Drosophila melanogaster: one gene and its partner. The protein of the gene in region 2 interacts with the protein of the main gene of each other region in a pairwise test. Each region holds a gene or a part of one and is shown on either strand. Other genes may lie near its edges.

Region 1 (6,630 bases), on a different chromosome or scaffold from region 2:
GAGGTTCTCTCCGCCTACGTGGGATCCGGGCCTCCACCAGACACCGGACTCCATCGTTACGTTTTCCTGATCTACGAGCAGCGGTGCAAGCTCACATTCGACGAGAAGCGACTGCCCAATAACAGCGGAGATGGACGCGGTGGCTTCAAAATCGCCGAGTTCGCCAAGAAGTACGCCCTCGGCAATCCCATTGCCGGTAACCTCTACCAGGCTGAGTACGACGACTATGTGCCCATCCTCTACAAGCAGCTGGGCGCTTAGTTTCTACGCCAAAAACCATGCTTATATAAGCCAGTCTGAATTGGATTCAAATCTATTGTAACCTAGAAATTAAAGACACCTATGAACACTCTGTGAAACCCTCTGTTGCTGGCAATAAAATTGTTAAAGACATATTAACTAAGCCACTGTATCTTATTACACATTTTCAATATTTTCATATCTTATCTTGTTAATTTGTCTGAAGTAATAATTCGGTTACCCTTTGCTGAGGCAAAACAGTTTCTGTGCTGGTTATGTATTTATTATTCATTCCAATTACAATCTACTTCTTTATCAATAGGATTCTTCTAGCGTCATTTGTATACATACAGATTTCATGAACTTGAGTTTATATCTCGCCAAAATACATGCTTTGAAGATACAAGACATAATTGCTATCGGACCTTCCAAATAGGAAGAACGTTTCTGATCAGTATTATAGTTATTTCCCAGGGCGCAAGAGACGCCCATCTGGGTAAGTTATTTATTTGTAAAAGCATTGCGACATAATTACAATCTACTTCTTAAAGTCAAGAGGATGGTTCTTCATGTGTGCAATAATAAAGGTCTCTAATACAACTAGATGCAGACTCATACAATCCATAAAATAATGCTGAAGAAGAACCCACGCTCTATTTCCTCCTTTGATGGGTCCAGTGCATATTCGGCTGTTGAGAAGGAGGGGAGGTGTCTAGTTTCCAAATTACTTTACTCTATAGAGGGAAAGACAGTGCGATGGTCTTTCCATTCGGTTTCGCTGATTGCCTATAAAAAGCAAGGTCGGAGTTAGTTAGTATGAAATAGGCTGCATGACTATGTTACCAACTTACCACTAGCTCGTCGAAAGCCTGTTTGGCCAGCCAGTGGAAGCATGGACTCTTCCATTCGCGCGCAATCGCCTGCTGATCCTTGACGTCGTCCTCGGCGGTGGACTTGGAATTGGTAATGGCCTTGTACTTGGCCCACAGGAAGACCATGCTGCGCAACTTGTAAACCCACAGGTCATTGGGTATGCCGCGAATAATGTCCTGTATTTCCACCATGTTCAACTCCGTAAGGTTATCCAGGAAGGTGCGGTTCATCAACGTAAAGATCGTCTTCATTGTGTCGTACGGCACGTCGGCATTCTTCTCGAGACCAAAGTGTGCCGACTTTATGATAGCGTAAACCACCTGCTCTGTGGTTAGCTTGGGCAGATTGGGTAGGAAGCAATGCTCTAGATTCAAGTTCCCACACTCCAACAGTTGCTGGTCGATCTCCTCGCCAACATTCTTGTAGTCCTTCCACCAGTTGCCCCAATCATTATATTTCTTCGATTCGTTAAGCGGTGCCCAATCGGACCGTATGCGTTTCCTGTTGCGCTTTGCAATCTTGCGAGCCGACTTGGCGTCGTCGGCCACCGATTCGTCTTCCGAATCTTCGTTGAGCACTACGGCCGCCTCTACGAAGTCCTCCTCGGTGGCGTCCTGGTTTGTACTGTAATTGAAGGTTTGTTCGAAGAAGGTCAAGGCATATGAGTCCGCCTCCGGCTGTGGGAGCTTCTTCGGCTGATCGTTGAGATAGGGAATCTTGAATCCGCCAATAAGGAAACCGCGCTTGCGTGCCACGCGTCGCCATTTCTTGACCGACTTGGAGGCAGCCTCCGTTTCCAGCGGTGGAGGTGGGGCAACACGCTTCTGACCTGCAATGCATAACATATTAGGAACTTGTGTATGGTAAAACTATTCCTAGTTGCTTTGCAAAACTCTACTAAATGAATTGGAATAGTTAGAAGAAAGTTTTGTAATGCAACCTTACGAAATAGAACTGAATCTTACTAATTTGGACGGGGAATCCAGGAGCGTTTGGCGGCCTACTGGGCACTCCTGCTGGTTTGCCTCCTTGTGGTCCACCTTTCACTGCCTGCTGGCCAGTTCTAGGTGCCAGTGGTCCCGACTTCTGCAGCTGTGGTCCAGTTTTCAAGCCCTGTTGTCCAGTTCTCAAGCCCTGTGGTCCAGATCTCAATCCCTGTGGTCCAGCTCTTAATCCCTGTGGTCCAGTTCTTAATCCCTGTGGTCCTGTCCTGTTTGCCTGCGGTCCGGTCTTCACGGCTGGTGCGGCCACCGGTGGCTTCTTGTTGGTAACCGAGACCGTTTTCGAATTGGGTGTTACGTTATTGACTTTATACTGATTTGGTGCTGCAACGGGCAGCTTTTTCTGTACTCCAGTCGCATTGCCCGGACGCAGGTTGGCGGTCTTGTTGTTGCGCAGAGTGGGCGCACCTGCGCTTTTGACGATTTCAGCCTTCTGAGGATTGTTGCGCAAGTTCTGGACCGCCTTAGCGGCTGGCTGTGGAGCTGGCTTTCGAACAGATCCGCTGTTGTTCAGATTCATCTTCTGCAGCTGATTGCGCTTCGAGTTGAAGGCGCGCTGACCAGCTTCCCATCCAGAGCCACCGGAACCTACTCCTCCTCCGCCGCCGGCACCGCCTCCTCCACCACCGCCGCTTCTTCCTCCACCTCCGCCACCACCACCACTGTTCGATTGATAGCCAGAGTTCTGGAACGATGATGATTGTGATTTGTTCCAGTTGTTGCGAGAGTCTTGGAAGGTGCGACTAATGTTGTTGCTAAAGCCGCCTCCGGAATTATTGTTGCCAAAGTTACCACCAGAGTTCGGTTTAAAACCTGGGCCTCCGGATCCTCCGACAGCCGGTCCGCGGTTGTTAAAGTTTCCAATATCCCTATTGTTGTCCCCAAAGTTTCCAGAGTTCTGGCCAAAGTTGTTGCTAAAGCCGCCTCCGGAATTATTGCTGCCAAAGTTGCCACCAGAGTTCGGGTTAAAGCCTGGGCCTCCGGATCCTCCGACAGCCGGTCCGCGGTTGTTAAAGTTTCCTATATCCCTATTGTTGTCCCCAAAGTTTCCAGAGTTCTGGCCAAAGTTGCCGTGATTTCCACTGCGTCCGTAGGAATCATTGAAACCGGAACGCTGGTCATCATAGTTAGGACCTCTGTTTGGGAAATTGTCATTGTTGAAGTTGCGTTGATTGTTTCCTCCAAACGAAGGACCACTGTTTCCACCAAAAGGGACATCGCTTCCTCCAAAGGAAGGTCCACTATTGCCCCCATAAGCGGGTCCATTGTTTCCACCAAAAGAGGGAGCATTGTTGCCGCCAAATGGCACTCCATCGTTGGGAACGAAATTACCGAATGATCCCTGATTTCTGGGTTCATCGTTGAAAAACCTATCGCCGCTTCCCTGCGGCTGGGGACCTCGATAGTTGACATCTGGATTGCAGTCCATACGGTTCTCCACCTCCAGCAAGCGGGCTACGTTGCTCTGATTGGATGCTCCCCTGTTCGCTTGGCCGAAATTGGAGGACGGCCCGCCACGAAATTTGTCCTGGAAATTATCGCCGAAACGCTGGTTGCTGCTCGGATTGAAACCGCTCCGATCTCCGTCTCCGGAACGTGGGTAGCTGTTGTTGCCGCCACTGTTGCTGTTGTTGCTGTAGTTGCCACCGCCGCGACTGAAGTTGCCACCATCTGGGCTGGTATTCCGGTTGACGCCGTAGCCTCCGCCACCGAAAGTGCCACCGTAGCCTCCTCTGCCACTGGTATTGCCGCCTCCGCCGAAGTTGGCGCCGCTACCGCCTCCGCCGTAGTTTGAGGAATACATCCCGCCGCCGCCGCCTCCTCCACCACCACCAACGCCGCTGGAGCTCCCCATTCCGCGCCGCTGGCCAATGCCGTAAGCGTCGTTCTTCATTTGGCGGTAGTCCATTCCGAATAGTCCTTGCCCGGATTTACCTTTACGTCGAGCACTCGCCGCTGCTTCCAATTAACTGGCTTCTCTGCGATTTTTTCCAACACAACAAACGCGGCACAAAAAATGCTTTCCTTTCCCCGAATTTTTCACTGTCTGGTGCCAGGGTTGCAAAGCAATGAAAGCCGGCTGCTCAAAATGGTAATAAGTCCGATTCGAAGTTGGTATTTTTATTGAAAAATACTGAGCGTGATAGAAAAATACCGCTATTGAATTAGTTAGGAATACCTTGCAATAAATTATTATTTATTTATATTTTAAGCATTATGTCAAATGTGATTTGTTATAAACAACATTTGACAAATGTATAATTTCGGTTTTGATTCGGTAATATTCTGAAAGCCATCTTCCAAAAAATTTCTTTAGCAAGATATTTATAGAGAAGAAGCTTACTGTATAATTTCTTTTCACTACTATCGTAGTTAATTAAAGAGCTATATTTTATAGTAATATTTACTAATGAATTGGTTGTATTAAGTATTATATTATATTACATACATACTTACACTTTCACTACCAAAGAAAACACACAACCTGAAAATATTGAATCACAAATTCTTTTGAAAAATGTAGAATAAAACATGAGCACGAAAGTCAAACCAGGAAAACCAACAAAAAAAAAAAACATTACAAAAATCTATGAAAGTTAAATATAAGCTAGCTGTTGCCTCGAAACCGCTTTTTAATCTACACTAGTCGGCATAAGTATTTTGACAAAATAAGCGCAGCACATTTGTCAGTGTGTAAGTAATATAAACTTAAAAATTAACAAGCAAAATTTTTTTTATTGAAACTTAAAAAGATATAAACAACTTAATAAAATATGATGTTTTTTTCTTTCGCAGTCAATATATGATATCATTTGAATATATAGAAAATCCAATCAGCCCCTTTTTTTCAGTTTCTAATAAAATTCAAGAATAAAATAAATTGTAAAATTTGCGCCTTTATTAACATTATCACAGCGGGCATTATTCATTTATGTGCCTTTTTAGTTACTGAACACTGGAATGCGAACATGAAGCATCTGAAAAATGGGAAGAAAGAACAGAAATTAAAGATTTGAATCCTCCAAACTTGGTGCACTGCATCACCTTGGTGGTCTTATCGAACAGAGCTTGTGCACGATCCTGCTGCAGACGGTAGTTGACGAATTTGTTGAACACATAGCCATACTTGCGGGTTTCCACCACGATACGATCCTCGCCGACAAGGAGACTGAACTCCTGCGAAGAAACCTGCGGATTGATGTGGTGACATAAATAAACTTCTTTTTCTCTGTGCATCCATAATAATCTTACGTAGTTGGGCAAGTAGATCTCAGCATGGATTTCGTCAACGGACTCGTCACGAACTCGACCACGAAGTTTGTACTGTATATCCAGAAAACCGCCGCCTGCAGACTGTCGACTCTTCCTTATGGCAGCAGCATCCTTCTCGTCGATCTCCTGCACCAGTTTTCCGGAATTTTCCGGTGCCACAGCCCCACCATCCCGGCTGTTAAGAGCAGCAGGAATGCCGGACGTAGACTGGGCCCTTTTCATATCTTCGTTGCGCACACGATGAGTGACCAAAGTGCCGATGAACTTGCGATTGTTCAGAATAATGGTCTTTTCCATGTTGAGCTGCACATTATACTTTTCGCTCATCGCCTCAATCACAATTTGCATAAAGAAGTTCTTGAAGAGCTGCGACTTCTGGATCTTTACCAGAAACTTTGGGTTGATAGCGATGTCGCAGACATCGACGGTCTTATCGGAACGATCCTTCGTGAATCTGGGATCTGAGATGCTCATGGGCACTCGATAGGAGCCAGGAGTAGTGGATTCCAGTATGCCAATCAGTTCCTCCTCGGTGACATCCTGCGGTGCTGGAACTTCCGCTGCCTGGCACACGTTAATGAAGAACTTTTCATCACTGTTTGTCTTGAAGCTTTTCACGCAGATTCCTAATGGGGAAACAGAAAAGAGTTGAGTATTATTAAAATGGCTTGTTATCTGGAAAGTTTCTGGCAGCTAAAAAAAAAAAATAGAAAGTTGAGGCGATTCAATCGTATGGGCCATTGCAAAAGCAAACCCCTTTGTTTTATTTTGGCTTTGATTCCATATACAATCTTATACAATATGCTTCGCATTCAATTATGCTTTCAAGCCGGGATAGATTTTTTTATGATCCGGCCACGCGATCTCGCTGATTGCCTATAAATAAAGATAAGGTTCGTTGTCAGTTGAAGATAGTAGAACTTGGGTTTCCTTAAGGTTTTCAGATACTTTTAGCTTTGGGAAATGTTGTTTTCTCACCTTAAGCTCATCGAAAGCCTGCTTGGCTAACCAGTGAAAGACAGGACTTTTCCATTCTCTCGCTATGGATTGAATTTCCTTATCGCTTTTGAAATTATTAGCTGAATGGGTTTTAAGAGTGCCATGGTACCTTTCCCAAAGGTAGACCATGCTGCGGATCTTGTAGAGCCACAAGTGATTTGGAACGCCACGTATCAAGTCCTGCAACTGTTCCAATTGCTCATCAGACAAACTGTTGAGGAACTTTTCGTTCATCAGTAGGAAA
Region 2 (6,214 bases):
GGTAAAATTAGTTGGACAACATAGGCTGAGACATTACAGTGATTTTCTGTTGCAGGTGCATTGAGACCGATCTGCATTCTGGAAACTGCAAACATCGCTGGTTCTTTAAGAATCACTGGCACAGGTCAATATGGCTTAAGCAATTACGTTATAAATGTGCAAAGCCTTAATTGGCAGTTGTGTGAACTTGAGTTGAGGAGAAATATCGAACAGAATCAGTTTTGTGTGAAAAACACTTTCCAACCAAATGCGCTTAAGCAATTTGGTACAGCTGGCGATATATTGGTTAAAAAAATATTGAATGTTTCGGGCATGGTCCATTTCGTTCTATTGGGCTTGGTAGACGTTTCGCACAATGACGTATACGTAATAACCAGTGCTATGGCAAATGCAGAATGGATCTCGAAAATAGTAAATCAGAATGAATAGGGTATCTGGATTATCGGGCGATTTAATCGAAAACTACACAAGCAGTAAATAAATTTAAACACAATATCATTTCAGTTCTCACAACATTTATTAGCTATTTAGTTTAAGTTTGTGTGTGAAACAAGCATATATTATATTAATTAAGGGCAAACTTATCACCAATCACACTTGACTCTTTAAGTCGAAAAAATGCAATCGCATTAATAAGCTTATTTATGAATTGGGGTTCTGAAATGAGAAGCTGAAAGTGCCACTAGATGAATCTAGTTAGCAGGGAAGAGAGCAGAAGCAAGGAGATGGAGGCCACAATACCAGACGCCGATCCGGTGTCAGCCTTCTCGTGAATCACAATTCGTTCCTCGATCTCGGGATACACGAAATGGCGCTGCTTCAGGTACTCCATGGTAGCATTCAGATCGTTTCGCTGCATGCTCTCGGTGAAGGGATCCGACTCCTCGATCAGAGTGTAGCCATCGCCGCCTTCCAGCAGGAACTGGGGCACGATCACTTGGTACAGGGCCGTCTCATTGATGCTCTTGTACGTGGGCACGGCGCAGCTGGCGCATAGGGCCTGTGCGGAAACCACTCGCTTGCCCTGCTCATTGTTGTAGTTGTACACCACACGCAGTCCGGACATCTGCAGGAATCCACCATTGGAGTCCTGCAACCTCACAGACGCGGAGTGTTCCAGGGCAGCCAGAAGGGTGCTTCCGAGAATCCTTGTCACGTACAGATTATTCTCGAACGGAAGAACGGCTAAGAGGGTGGCGCCATTGATGACTCCATCATCCTTCTTATCGACGGAGCCACGGATTCCTATAAAATATGTAGATCCACGTAATTTCGAATTTCTCTAATGACACCAAATAAAACACACCTCCTCCCTGCATAAAAGCAATCGCAGTATCTGTCCAGAATTCGCCGCCCTTGTTTTCCAACACGCGACTATAGATCATGGCATCTGTCACCAAGTTGCCAAGGTTGCACTCCCTCATGCGGCAGATGTTGCCGCCCTCGAGAAACACCTTAGTGTAACCCAGAACCGTGTTCTCCAGCTCGTCCAGCTTGGGGCGGTATTCGTCTAGCAAATCCAGGAGATCCTGCTCCTGAGCTACAGAGGCATTCAGCAAAATGGGAGCGCCATCAAACTCGATCAGATTTCCCTCGGCATCAAACTGGAAATATTCGTATTACAATTATATTCAAATTTCTTTAATAATAATCCAGATAATATATAGTGCTTACCTGAACATGAATCTTTCCGAGATACTTGGTATACGCGTATGCCTGAACCACTGGTACCTTCTTGCCGCTCGCCTGCACCACTGTGGTGGGATAGGGACCTCGAACCGCCTCCGGATCAGAGTCCGTGGGATCGGCCACCGGCTGATTGGCATCTAAGAATGTGTGCGAATGGCCACCAATGACTATGTCCACCTCCGGGCAGTTCATGGCTATCTCCTGATCCTTTTGGTATCCAGAGTGACCCAAAGCGATGATGATATTGATGCCTTGAGCCTTTAGCTTTGCGGCCTCCGCACTGCGGAATAAATGAACATGCATTAACATCCTTGCTCTCCAGCGGATTTGAGCTATACCCACTTGATGGACACGATTTCCTCCTCGTACTCCACTTTGTTCCGAAAGGCAAGCACCTTGGTATCGGGCGTAAGGTAACCGATAACGCCAACCTTCACCCCATTTCTCTCGAGGATCGTCGAGTTGGCCAGCTGCTTGGCAGCCGCCATTTCCGGAACATCGGTGAGGTTCAGATTACAGGCCAAAACAGGGAATTCCACGGCATTTAGGAAGGGCACCAAACCCTCAACATTCTGATCAAACTCATGGTTGCCCAGAGACTATTGAAAGGTATATTGATGAAATATAGTAAGAGAATGCGGAAAACAATAAAATAATAGTTACAATAGCATCTGGCGATAGCTTGTTGAGGAAAGCACTGGCGATCTTGTCCTTATAGACGGTGAACCAAGCAGTTCCGGTATAGGTGTCACCTGCATTGAGATAAAACACTGGAGTTCCACCCTCCTCCGCCTCCTTGCGATACTTTCGCACCCTAGTTGAAGTTCATCAGCATGAATAGTTGAACTCTAGGCAAACTGACCGCACTTACTCGTATGCCACCCTGGCGAATCCTCCGTAGCACTGATCCGTATTGGCCTCCTCCTTGGAGCAGGTGCCACTGGTCACACTCGTCTGCTCGAATCGGGCGTGCATGTCATTGTTGTGCAGAATGATGAACTCGGCGGCAACTTCCGCCCGGGGTGCAATGGGATTCGGCTGCACAGGATGAATCAGTAGAGCCAGTAGGCAGCATGATCCGATAAGGAGACCACGGGCAGGTAACATTTTGGTGCTGGAACAATAAACACAACAATCGCTGATAAGTTATCACACACGAAGGGATGAAATGTGGGTGGATAATCTTCGGTGAATAAGCACTGATTCGCGCACGGCAACTGGTTTGTCATAATCATTGTTTTTGCACTCATGAAAATCTAAAAATTTTAATAAAAAATTAATGCACTGCCACTTAATGAAGCGTGTTTTAAGTATTAGTTCGTTTTCTTATCCGAATGGTTTTACACATGTAATGGAAACACTTCAAACGTTGTTAACCAGATTTTCTACTTAGACTGTTGAAGGTCCTTTTCGACCTTATCACCAATCCACTGCTGAGAGGCAAATATTTATCAATCACGAGCGCGCAGAAATCGCAATTTATAGTTTATTGGGTGTTTTAAATCTAATCGCCGCTTATCACTTTGCGTGTGCAAAAAAAAAACACACAAATCCCCAGCACATTCTGCTCGACAAATTTCTGCCATCGCGGTCCACTTCACTCGGTCAACTGGTTTTCGATTGAACTCGGAAACGAGCTCGAACTTCAGCTTGCTCATGGCATTGGCCTAAAAGCTAACTCGGCTCAAAAAGGCCCGATCGATGTTACTTCAGAAGCAACGAATTACCAAATACCAACGATCGCTACTCACATGCACTCGTCGCACGGTCCGCGGGCTAACTGACTGACCCACCAAATTGGCTGAGAGTGCGAGAACCGTTATTAGCCGAAAACATAAAGCCGAGTACCTTAAACAGCAAAACCGAAATTTACTGCCTCGCGAAGCGGACTGATTACGATAAGGCCTCGTATTGCGATTGCGGGTTAAATTGGCTGAGAATGACAATGCGATGCTCTTTCTGCATTACCCCATTGTATTTCGATGTTTTGGAAGCCATCGGAAGCAGACATATCGCGCGATAATCGTCGGTTATAGATCAGATAATGGTGAATTGGCTATATATTTATCTGACTCATAGCCACTCAGACAGAGGCAGGTAGTTGGCCCAACAGTTGTCTAAACACAACGTGACATTCCCACGCCGAAATATGGATTGTACTAAAAAATATATACAGTGCACGCTCGCTACGGAGAATTTACATTCGGCGTAACTCTAGCATCAAACAGCATTTACTTGTAAGTGATCTAAACACATGAATCAAAGATCACGCATTCGAAAGGATATTTTTGGAATATCTATATCTGTAATTAATATTTGCACTTTTGTTTCATAGTAAAACATTTTCACTGTCACGAAATTATATGCAACATGGTTGCTTACCTATATTTAGAGTATTTACTGTACATGTTTATTGACGCACCATTAACAACAGTCCGCCGATTGTGCCGAGTAAGCCGATCTTTGTTATTAATTTCCCGAAAATTCCAAGCAAGTGTCTTCTGCGAACTTTCAGGCACATTCGATTGATGAACAATGAGGCCTGCTTGTTGCACAGATTTATGGCCGCCAAAATGGAAGGATAGATAAATATTGGAAAGATGAATTTCACTCAACAGCCGCGTAAATTACTTTATGAGTTTACTGCGAAGTTCTACCCACACGAAATGATCACAATTGCCGGGTTTTGGGCCACAGTTCATCCCCAAATTATCCGCTGCCACTTGTCGCGTGCTTCTCAAACTGTTCAATCATATAGTATGTATAATGGCTCAATAGACACACGACAGCTGCGGCTGTGGATAATGTATTTGCTATTTACTATTTGCTGCCTGTGTTCGGGCAAATAACTCAAAAACGAAAGGGAAAGGTACAACTTTCCTGCTCGAGATGTCGCCTAAATATATCCGAAAGATACAAGATACAACAGCAATTGAGTTGGTTCGAAAATAAATAGAAGATGCTTCGGCCAAGTTTAACTGAAATGGGGAGAGGAAAACCAGCACGCAATATTACACAATGTCAAGTGTACGATAAAAATGAGATAAAAATAATATATATGATTCAATTTTGATACGCCCTTAACAACATCAAGTGCTTATCAAGTAAATAATGTGTACACACACCATTGCCGACATACTAAATGCAAATATCCAATCCATCCATATCATAAGTTCACAGACTTGACGTCTGGGCGTGATTATTTAAATGCCCCTTCCGAAATTGCGAAACAACAATTCGCTGAGATAGTGTCAAATTCGCAGCCCCAAATAAATCGAATAATGCCCAATTTCCTTGACCATAAATAAACATTTATTGCTATCAATGAGATTGTTTCTTTTTTTTTTTCTTGGGACAGGAGATTCTTCATTTATGGTGTCATCTTATATTTCAGCACTCCCCCCTTCCCCCTTCCAACAAACCCAAAATATAAATCCCTTTATTTTAAATTATGGTCATGATTACACAATGCGCGGACATAAACCATAAAGCGAATTATGTTCATTCCAAATTTTGACAGCATTATCGATTAGCATTTTGGGACCACTCCACCTTTACTACGTTAACAATCGGCAATAAAGCCGATAAGAATTGGTTCTCCATGCCAACGGAGGTAAACGTGATTTCGTTCAAACTAACTCATACCGCATACCAATTTCCATGACAACGAAATTCGAAAATTTCTCGCAGTGCTTTTAGGTGTGCACTTATCATTGCAGTGGCAGGTCAAACTAACTCGCAGGGGAAGTGCCGATCGAAGAGATGAATGTGAAGCGTGCCAGCTGCAAATGCTTATCATGGTCGGGCATACCGCACTGGGGAATCTCCTACAAATATGCACATTAAACGAATTTTGTATGCAAATACGAAAATCTATATTCGTAAAGAAGCATCGTGATCAAAGTTCAAGTGATCAAAGTTCACAAACAAAATTTTAGGTAGCTTATTGGTAGAATACAATGCTTAACGGATACGTTAAATATTACCTAAATAGCTTAACTGTCTAACCTGAATAACTTATTCTTTAAGTGCGTCAGCAGTGCACGTTTTGCCAAGAAAAGCAATTTAAGCAATTACATATATCGGTCGTTGTTCGCTAAAACCAGATCGAAACTCATTTGAAATCAACTGAATTAAAAGTCCAGATTCGTTTATTTGTAGCAATTAAGTTAATTCGTCATTAAATTGACAACTTATACATTCAAAAAAAATTCATGAAAATTTATACGCTCAAAACTTGATTACCCAAGATTGTAAGGTATTGATAATTTATTTATGTCTGCTTTAAAATGTAAAAAAAAGAAAATTTGATTAAAATGCTTTATTTTCGCACACACCCTTCAATGCAACCCTATTAAAAAAAAGGACATAGGAAGGTAACTTGGGAATCGGCTATGCCGCACCGAAAGGAAACGGACACGGGACAACAACAACTGAAAGGTCGGAAAGGACGAGCAGGGCGCGCCTGTGATCCCGGGGGGATGGGGTGCAGGACGGATGCACGGAGGAAGGGAGGATATTCGGA

The links. The genes of interacting proteins can lie anywhere in the genome.
Region 1: the proteins of veil (region 2) and CG5787 interact in a two-hybrid assay, tested with the Drosophila melanogaster proteins (one large-scale study listed by BioGRID).

The regions. Positions count from the first base shown.
Region 1 is NT_033779.5:12,708,284-12,714,913, forward strand, and holds CG5787 (uncharacterized protein), read right to left. Parts: upstream 4,670-6,630; 5' UTR 4,572-4,669; intron 4,249-4,571; 5' UTR 4,024-4,248; coding exon 2,079-4,023; intron 1,943-2,078; coding exon 1,092-1,942; intron 1,027-1,091; coding exon 970-1,026; 3' UTR 509-969; downstream 1-508. Other genes in the region: CG6180 (uncharacterized protein), read left to right, coding at 1-261; Pih1D1 (PIH1 domain containing 1), read right to left, coding at 6,204-6,263, 6,366-6,630.
Region 2 is NT_033778.4:17,476,406-17,482,619, reverse strand, and holds veil (veil), read right to left. Parts: upstream 4,463-6,214; 5' UTR 4,351-4,462; exon of another isoform or gene 4,232-4,350; 5' UTR 4,112-4,231; exon of another isoform or gene 2,804-4,111; 5' UTR 2,797-2,803; coding exon 2,561-2,796; exon of another isoform or gene 2,504-2,560; coding exon 2,353-2,503; exon of another isoform or gene 2,289-2,352; coding exon 2,032-2,288; exon of another isoform or gene 1,970-2,031; coding exon 1,675-1,969; exon of another isoform or gene 1,605-1,674; coding exon 1,307-1,604; exon of another isoform or gene 1,246-1,306; coding exon 683-1,245; 3' UTR 502-682; downstream 1-501. Other genes in the region: CG43110 (uncharacterized protein), read left to right, coding at 1-1, 56-429.